2 linked regions of the Rattus norvegicus genome follow. The protein of the gene in region 2 purifies or fractionates together with the protein of the main gene of each other region. This does not show direct contact. Links are inferred from orthologs where the notes say so. Each region holds a gene or a part of one and is shown on either strand. Other genes may lie near its edges.

Region 1 (4,373 bases), on a different chromosome or scaffold from region 2:
GTTCAACCAAGGAAAAACAAAACCTAGATTGTGTGTGTGTGTGTGTGTGTGTGTGTGTGTGTGTGTGTGTGTGTGTGTGTGATTCTGTTTTAGGAGAGCTTCTTTCTGTTTGCCTCTTTGATAAACATTGCTTAATTACAGGGCCGTCAGTGATTGACTCGTCAGTTACCATATGTGACTCTTAGGTTTCCCACCTCAATTCCACTAGTGAAAATTAACTCGAACACACCAGGCTTTTAGAGTGATTTGTTGGCTTGAACGGGAAATGAGCTTTCCCTTATAGCGTCACTGTTCTCAAGGCATGGTCTAAGATATAAAAATAAAAGAGTAGAAAATAAAAGTACATTCATCACTTTTTAATGTAAGGCGTGTCAGTCACAATAACTCGGATCGATCTTTCTTTCTTTCCTTTTCTTTTTTTGCAAATTTGGTAAACTTTCCTCGGAAAAGGAGCAAATGTTTCCAGATGTGAGAAACCACACACAAAGGACAAGAGTGATGCTCCCCTGCTAACTAAAGTCAGAGGACCTTGTTCTTTTGACGCGACCGAGACTCAGGCCGGTTAGGCTCCCGTTCCCGCCACCCCACTCCCTGCCCAGGTTACCTGTGGAAGCTGATGTTAATGTGCTTGTTGTAGGTAGCAGCACAGCCCGCCGCGGCGCAATTGGTCGGCATTTCCCCCGGCCCCTCATTCGGCGCTACCTTACGCCAGTTCTGAGGCGCTGCCCGCTAAGCTTCTGTCAAACGCTAGACAAACGAGGCAGGCGACAAGCTCCGCGCAGAGAGCGGGGTGGGAAGAGGGGCGTGCACAGTACCGAAGTGGGAGGGAGGCCGCACTCCCCTTTTTCTTTATTAATATGGCGGTTTTAGGCCTGCAGAGCCAACGTGCTGGAGCTCTCGGCGCAAACGGTAGCCTTCACCAACATGGCGGCCACACCTGCCCCTCTTCCCCCTCCCGCTCCCCACTTCCCGGGGTCCCAAAGACACTCGGTATACTGCGTCTCTGATAGGGGTGCCCTTGCAATGAATGAGATGATGACAGGTGTCTTCCACACCGACAAATTACTCTGAAACTCAGGCCTGCGGCTGAAGAGCAGGCCCGCTACCGGGACACTGACCCCTGTCACCTCAGACCGGGTGCTAGGGACGGTTAAGACCGCAGGGACCAAGGACGAAGCGGGGAGCAAGAGGAGACTACAAATCCCAGCGAACATCGCTGGTCTACAAAGCCTGTTCTCGCGACACTTAGCTTTCGCCTTCCGGCGTGTCGCAGGAAATGACGATCGGGACACAGCCTCCTTCCACAGAGCCTTTCTCGCGAGGCGGAAGAGCAGCAAGGGGGCGCTAGGAGAGGGAACTGGCTAGCGACGGTCCGGCGAGAGAGATCTGGGGTGCGGGGAAGTTGGGGAGCAGAACCTGCTAGGCGTCCGAACACGGGAAGGCCGCGCCTGCCGGGTCCGTTAGGACAGAGGGCGGAGGAGTAAGGGGAAGGCAGCTGTCGGGCGGTCCCCGGACAGAGGGCTTAAGGTAGTGTGGACAGCGCTGCTCCCCGGATGGCGACCGCCGACACTTCGACCCCGGCCTCTAGCGGCCTCTCACCGAAAGAAGAAGGGGAGCTCGAAGATGGGGAGATCAGCGACGACGATAACAACAGCCAAATCCGGAGCCGGAGCAGCAGCACCAGCAGCAGCGGCGGCGGGCTGTTACCGTATCCGCGGCGGAGGCCTCCTCACCCGACCCGGGGCGGCGGATCTGGGGGAGGCGGCGGCTCCTCGTCGTCCTCGTCCTCTTCTCAGCAGCAGCTGAGGAATTTCTCACGCTCGCGGCACCCGTCTGAGCGGGGCCACCTCAGGGGACACAGCAGCTACCGACCCAAAGAACCGTTCCGGACTCATCCGCCCCCGGTTCGGATGTCTTCGGGGTCCCTGTCGGAAAGCAGCCCCCGACCGTCGTTCTGGGAGCGGAGCCACATAGCTTTGGACCGTTTCCGCTTTCGAGGCAGGCCTTACCGGGGTGGGAGTCGCTGGAGTCGGGGGCGAGGAGTGGGTGAGCGAGGAGGCAAGCCGGGGTGCAGACCTCCTTTAGGAGGAGGAGGAGGAGGAGGAGGAGCGGGATCCGGATTCGGCAGCAGCCAGAGCTGGCGAGAACCCTCTCCACCTCGCAAGAGCTGTATCCTTAACGTGGCGGTCCGCCCTGGGTGTGTCGCCGGAGCTCCCTTTGGCGTCATTGCTAGGTCCCGGAGTTTAACTTTTCAGAACCACTCATTTGTCTCTGTTCGTCGGCAGTTGTCATGTGTCACACTCCACCGCTATTTTCGTAGGTTGTTTCACTGGATGCGTTGCTTTTGGATCGGAGCGTGTCATGGATTCGGGTCAGCCAGGGAGATCAAATACAGTCTGGGTTTTTAACGGGACACCAGCAGTCCAAATTTCATTAGTATTTGTGCAGTTTTGTTTGTTTGCTTGGTTTTTTTTTCTTTTTTCTTTTTTTTTTTTTGCTAGCCCTGGAATTTCGTGTTTAATAGGACATCGACATAGATTATTAGAGAAAAGAAGTACTCCGGAGGAATACTGTTACTTATATTGCGTCCTGACATTAGAGTTCATGAAGTTTTCCTCTGTAATTTTACCGTTCTTTTGATTTTTTTTTTCTTAACCTAGAGTTATTCGTTCTTATTGCGGCCCATTGTGGTGTGTATGTGTACGCGAGTGTGTAGATCCTTTATTTATTTATTTTACTATTTTTACTATTTAGGTCTTTTATATTCATAAGTACTTTGGAAGGCTATATGCATTAAGTTCACTTTCCTATGTTCACTCTTTGGTTCTATAACTCTTCGTGCTGCCAACATGTAGGTCAGAGAAACTTAAACTTGCCAGCACTTTTAATTTAATGTGTTAGAGAAGGAGAGATGTATAGCGAATGGACTGGTGGGGAAGAAATGTCCTAAGTTTTGCTCCCTCTCACATTATTCCCAGTTATCTTTAACATTACTAAGTTTACTCAGGATTTATGTTAAGAAATTAATCGTCCAAAGCTTTCCTGTTTTCTTAGGGATTTATATATCCTGACTTCTACTCTTTAAAATAGTTTCATTACTAGCTATAATTCCCATGATGTAATGATGTTTAATAGATTTTCTATAAAGTTTACATCTGACACTTAATCGGAAGATACTCGAAATTATCTTTATGGAGAACTTTAGGCCAGATGTGCTTTTCCCAGATGGCATGATGTTAAGTGAGCAAGGAAAATATAAAGTAACAACAGATTTTGGTTTCTGTGTCCCAAAAAAGCTTTTACTTCTATCACCTATCATTGTTTTAGAAGCAACTCAAGATGGTTTTGGAGAAAAATCACAGGTAGGTAACCTTTTAAGAGATGGTGAATTTTTTAAATGAAGATTAGAAAACCTTTACTCATGATTGTATGCAAACATGAGCCATCCACGGACTTTTTTTCTCTTTTCTGAATTAAAAAATCAAAGGATATTTAAATATGTATATAAACATGTTTTTTAAGGTTACCTAGGTGAAAATTTGTAATTTGTATCAGAGAATATCTGCATCTCTCTGCTTTAGGAAGGTGTGGTGATTAGGCCTGCTACCTCCTGCCCTCGCCTTTTCTTCTGTTTGTGTGCTACTATTTGGGGATTCTGCCTCATATGAATGTTTATGTACTTATTGCAGAAAGAGTGTCGGTAAACATCCAGTGTGGGATGTGGTTTTGATTGCCCTGACAGCTTCTTACAAATCAGCTGTCTTGCTGATTGTTTTATAGATACAGCACTTTAAGAACAAGATGCTTGGTTTGATTTTCTGCATTATTGTTCTTATGAGATATAAGTAAACCACCATATAGGTATTGTTCTTCATAATTTGAAAAGGAAAATGTAGTTCCCAACCTCTTTGTATAATGTGAGCAAATAAAACTTGGAAACAAAGCTTTTTCCACATTTTTAATATCTGTATCATACTCAGCTTAATTCACATGTCTTCTGTGATTATAAAAATGGCTACTTTACAAATATTGCCTAGAAAAGATTGAGTGCAATTCTGACTCACTTAAATGATTTAGAAATGAAACATCTGGAGGATAAGCTTTGGCTATTGTTACTGTTTTATAACTTAAATAGGATACATTATGTGCAGTTTCAAAGAAAACAGAATAGACAAGATTCTGTTTCAGTTTTTTCTATTGTTGTTTAGAGACATGGGTTCACTTTGTAGCTACTTTGGAATTCAGTATGTAGCCCAGCTGGCTCAAAGCTATGGCAGTCAACTTGCATCAGCTTCCCAGGGATAACTGCCATTTTAAACTTGGAAAGGAAATCAGATGAGCCTTAACACAGTTAGCTAGCACAGTGTCCTAGA
Region 2 (3,454 bases):
CCCCTTAAGCCCCCATGTGGACATCTCTTCCCTTTCCTCCTGCCCTTTCCTCCCACGTCAGCCAAGAGCTCACACCTTCCTCCTTCAGGGCAATCTCCAGCTGCTCTACGGTAAAGGCATCCTGATGCGGAATGAGCCCTTCCACCCCCTCAGGTTAACTGTCTCTGTGTGTGCAGAAGAGGAGGTCCGATCCCACGGCAGCTGAGCCACGTGGTTATGAGCTCCTGATGTGGGTGCTGGGAACTCAACCCTGGACCTCTGTAAGCAAAGGAAGTTCTCTTAATGGCTGAGCTCTCTCCAGATCACCTTCCTTTTAAAAGTAAGATGGTCTCATGGAGCCCAGCATGGCCTCAGACTCACTGTGCGGTGGGAAATGATCTCTACCTACCAAGTGGCAAGGACTACTGGCCACACCACCACACCCACCTCTTACCCTGGACCACGCGGCCTGGGTCTCTCGTTCACTGCAGCCCCTTGGCGCCAAGCAGGCTGCTGAATGAGTGCTCTGCAGACACCAGATCAGTGGCTACCGACTCACTCGCTCAACACAGGTGAGCCCTTTTTAATGGTGTCCTGGTGAAGAGAGGGTTGTACCCAGGCCTAGAATGTCCCTAAGCCCCTCCCTAGCCTGCCTCAGCAGCCCCTGCTGCGACAGGACCAGAGGCTACCTGGGCACAGACAGAGGCACAGTGGAGTGCTGGCTGCTGGCGGGTAGGCGGTGGGCGTGGTGGAGGGCGCCCTGCCCTGGCGGGCCTCAGCTCTTGGAGTAGCGCCTCTGCAGGGATTCTCGGTAGAAGCGGAAGATGTGCTGTGAGGCAGCTTGGGCGGCGGCCAGACACTGCTGGAGCTGGGAACGAGAAGCAAGTTAACCCCAAAGGAGTCCCCGAACCTACATCCTCCCCGGCCCTCCTATCACTCCTCACCACCAGGACAGCCATGTCCTTCCTCAGCACCTCCTCATTCCCACCCCACAATGAGACGCTTACATCATGGCGGCAACAATCACCCTGCCGCAGTCACTGTACGTCACTACTCCTGGCTTTGTATTGTGCCGGGGATGCGTGGGACAAACCCTCTACCAATTAAGCCACATCCTCAAGCCCCTAAGCCTGCTCCCTCTTTAATACATAAATCACAGTGCCTGAGCATGCCCTGTGGAGATTAAAGACCAAGTTGAAGGCGTTGGTTCTCTCCTTCTGCCATGGTGGTCCTGGGGACTGAAGTCAGCCGATTAGGCTTGGCAGCAAGCGTTTCTAATTTAGACCCGTCTTCCTAGCCCCTAAGTTTTTTCTTAATGAAATGAGATTAAGGGCTTTGGGGACCACACTCTTCATGAAAGCAACAGGACCTCGAATCCCTGAGATCAGAATCCTCACGCCTTAAAGAACTCAAAGAATTGGAGAGCCTGAGAGGTAGAGGCATAACCCTTTAACCTTCACGTCTTTTGCTGTTATTTGAGACAGGATCTTGCCATGTAGCCCAGGTTGGCCTGGAACTATATATGTAGCTCAAGATGATCTCAGACTTAGCAGCTCTCCTAACTTACGGCCTGCTGAGCGTGACTAGACAGACCTGCCTGGAGCCTCTGCTCTCTTTTTGAGACAAGTTTTTACTACATAGTCCAGGCTGGCCTGGAACTCACACCAGTCCTTCTGCCCCAGCCTCTGAAGTGTTTTGATCACAGCTGTCAGCCCCCAAGCCCAACTCCAATAACTGTAAGAGCCATGAAATGAGAGATCTAAATCAAAAGAAATACAGGCACAGACCCCTTGGGAGCCCAGAATTCTAGAGGGCACTGTTCTGTGCTGACAACTGAATTCAAGCTGAATCCTGTTTTCTGATTTAACCTTTCAGGCTTTCCTTTAAAATGCTACAAAGGAGCATTTTTTTTTTTCTTCTTAAGACAGGATCTCAAAATGTTGCCCTGGCTGGCCTTGAATTCAGAACTATGCCTGCCTGTCTCCCCTGTGCTGAGATTAAACTTGTAGCCCAGAACCCTGTGCACACAGGGCAGGAACTTCAGGAACTAAGCCCTGAGAATGTGCCCTTCCCTGTCCCTTGCAGGGGATATAAAGAAGAGCCTGCTCTGAGCTGGGACAAGGCATTACAGCCAGCGATAGGAGAAAAGATTCTGGGTGGTGCCCCGCCCCACATGGGTACCTCTGCATCAGAATAGAGCCCCTTGGTGGCGGACATGAGCAGCTTCTGCTCCGCACTATCCAGAGCAAAGGTCAGAATGGCCCGGGCCTCCTAGGGACAAGAGGTAGAAGACTGTTAAGTATCCAGGGACCCTCCTTTCTAAGATCTCAGACAGTATCAAACAGGAGTAACTGGATCCTTAGCCTCTAGGTCAGCTGAAGCCCTCTGTCTACATACCAACCCATTCCTAGGTAACTGTTTATTTCTTTGCTCCTATGTCTCTATTCTGAGCAGTTTCCCTGTCCTACAGGGGAAACACAGTGCTGGTCATTTCCTGGCTGCCTCTCCAGCATCCTTCCTTGTTCTGTCCTACATAGGCAAGCCAAAGGCTCTCTTGCCATTAGGCTTTCCTGGTTATCTGATGGGATCCTGGGAAGCCTCCAGACAAGCATCCCGCTTCCCACTCAGGCAGCAGCAGTTGCAGCAAAAGCCACAAAGGTGAGGTGACTGCACCTTTTTCTGTGCCTGTATCTGCAACCCACTGCGATCCTGCTGAGGTCCAGCCACACTGCTAGGGTTTCCAATCACTTCATGTGAAGGGTGGGAAACGGGCTTCCCTGTCATCACCATCACACCAGCACAGGGCATAAGAACCAGAGCTCTGCTCTACGGTTGGGGAGTGAATGCTAGCAAGTTTCTTTTCTGGCTGGTGTAAGTCTGGCTTGAGATGGGTTTCTAGCACTTAAAGCTGAATGAGCCTTGACAAATAGGTCAGAACCCGCCAAGTGTGTCAAGGGTGCACAAGCCAACTGCCATGTTAGGGTCAGGCCTGGAGGCATTCTGAGCTGCAGCCCTTCACCAACACCAGCTTGCCACGCCTACCTTTTCTTGTTTGGTTGTGGGGTCCAGCACAAGATTGCCATCAGGGTCCAGGGCACAGGTGACCCCACAGAAGAGGGCTCGCATGGGCACGCCTGCATCCACCAATGCCATGCAGGCTGCATTCAGGCAACAGGCCAAGAGCTGGGCATCACGGACTGGTTAAGGAGAATGTCTGCTGTGGGGCTGGCCACTAGAACACGCTCACACTTCCTTTTTCCTGCTGATGCCTGCTGCAGACATCGCTGACTGACCACAGAGCAGCAGTGTGGCAGGGCGCATAGGTGGCACTGGCATCGAGTAGTGGCTGCTGCTGCTCCACACTGGGCCTTATTGCCTCTCTCCCAGCTGTAAGATTGTCTGGTTTTCTAAGTCTTAGTATTCCTGTGTCAGATGGGATAATGCCAGGGAACACACACACACACACACACACACA

Evidence for each region.
Region 1: the proteins of Exosc5 (region 2) and Zfc3h1 purify together in Homo sapiens (affinity purification with mass spectrometry; 3 studies listed by BioGRID and IntAct, with this or other methods). This does not show direct contact. The link is inferred for Rattus norvegicus from reciprocal best matches to the Homo sapiens genes EXOSC5 and ZFC3H1.

What each region holds. Positions count from the first base shown.
Region 1 is NC_086025.1:52,892,864-52,897,236, forward strand, and holds the start of Zfc3h1 (zinc finger C3H1 domain-containing protein), read left to right. Parts: upstream 1-1,553; coding exon 1,554-2,169; intron 2,170-4,373. Other genes in the region: Thap2 (THAP domain-containing protein 2), read right to left, coding at 605-675. UniProt on the Homo sapiens protein: Subunit of the trimeric poly(A) tail exosome targeting (PAXT) complex, a complex that directs a subset of long and polyadenylated poly(A) RNAs for exosomal degradation. The RNA exosome is fundamental for the degradation of RNA in eukaryotic nuclei.
Region 2 is NC_086019.1:90,302,113-90,305,566, reverse strand, and holds the end of Exosc5 (exosome complex component RRP46), read right to left. Parts: intron 3,163-3,454; coding exon 3,022-3,162; intron 2,251-3,021; coding exon 2,161-2,250; intron 848-2,160; coding exon 755-847; 3' UTR 520-754; downstream 1-519. UniProt on the Homo sapiens protein: Non-catalytic component of the RNA exosome complex which has 3'->5' exoribonuclease activity and participates in a multitude of cellular RNA processing and degradation events.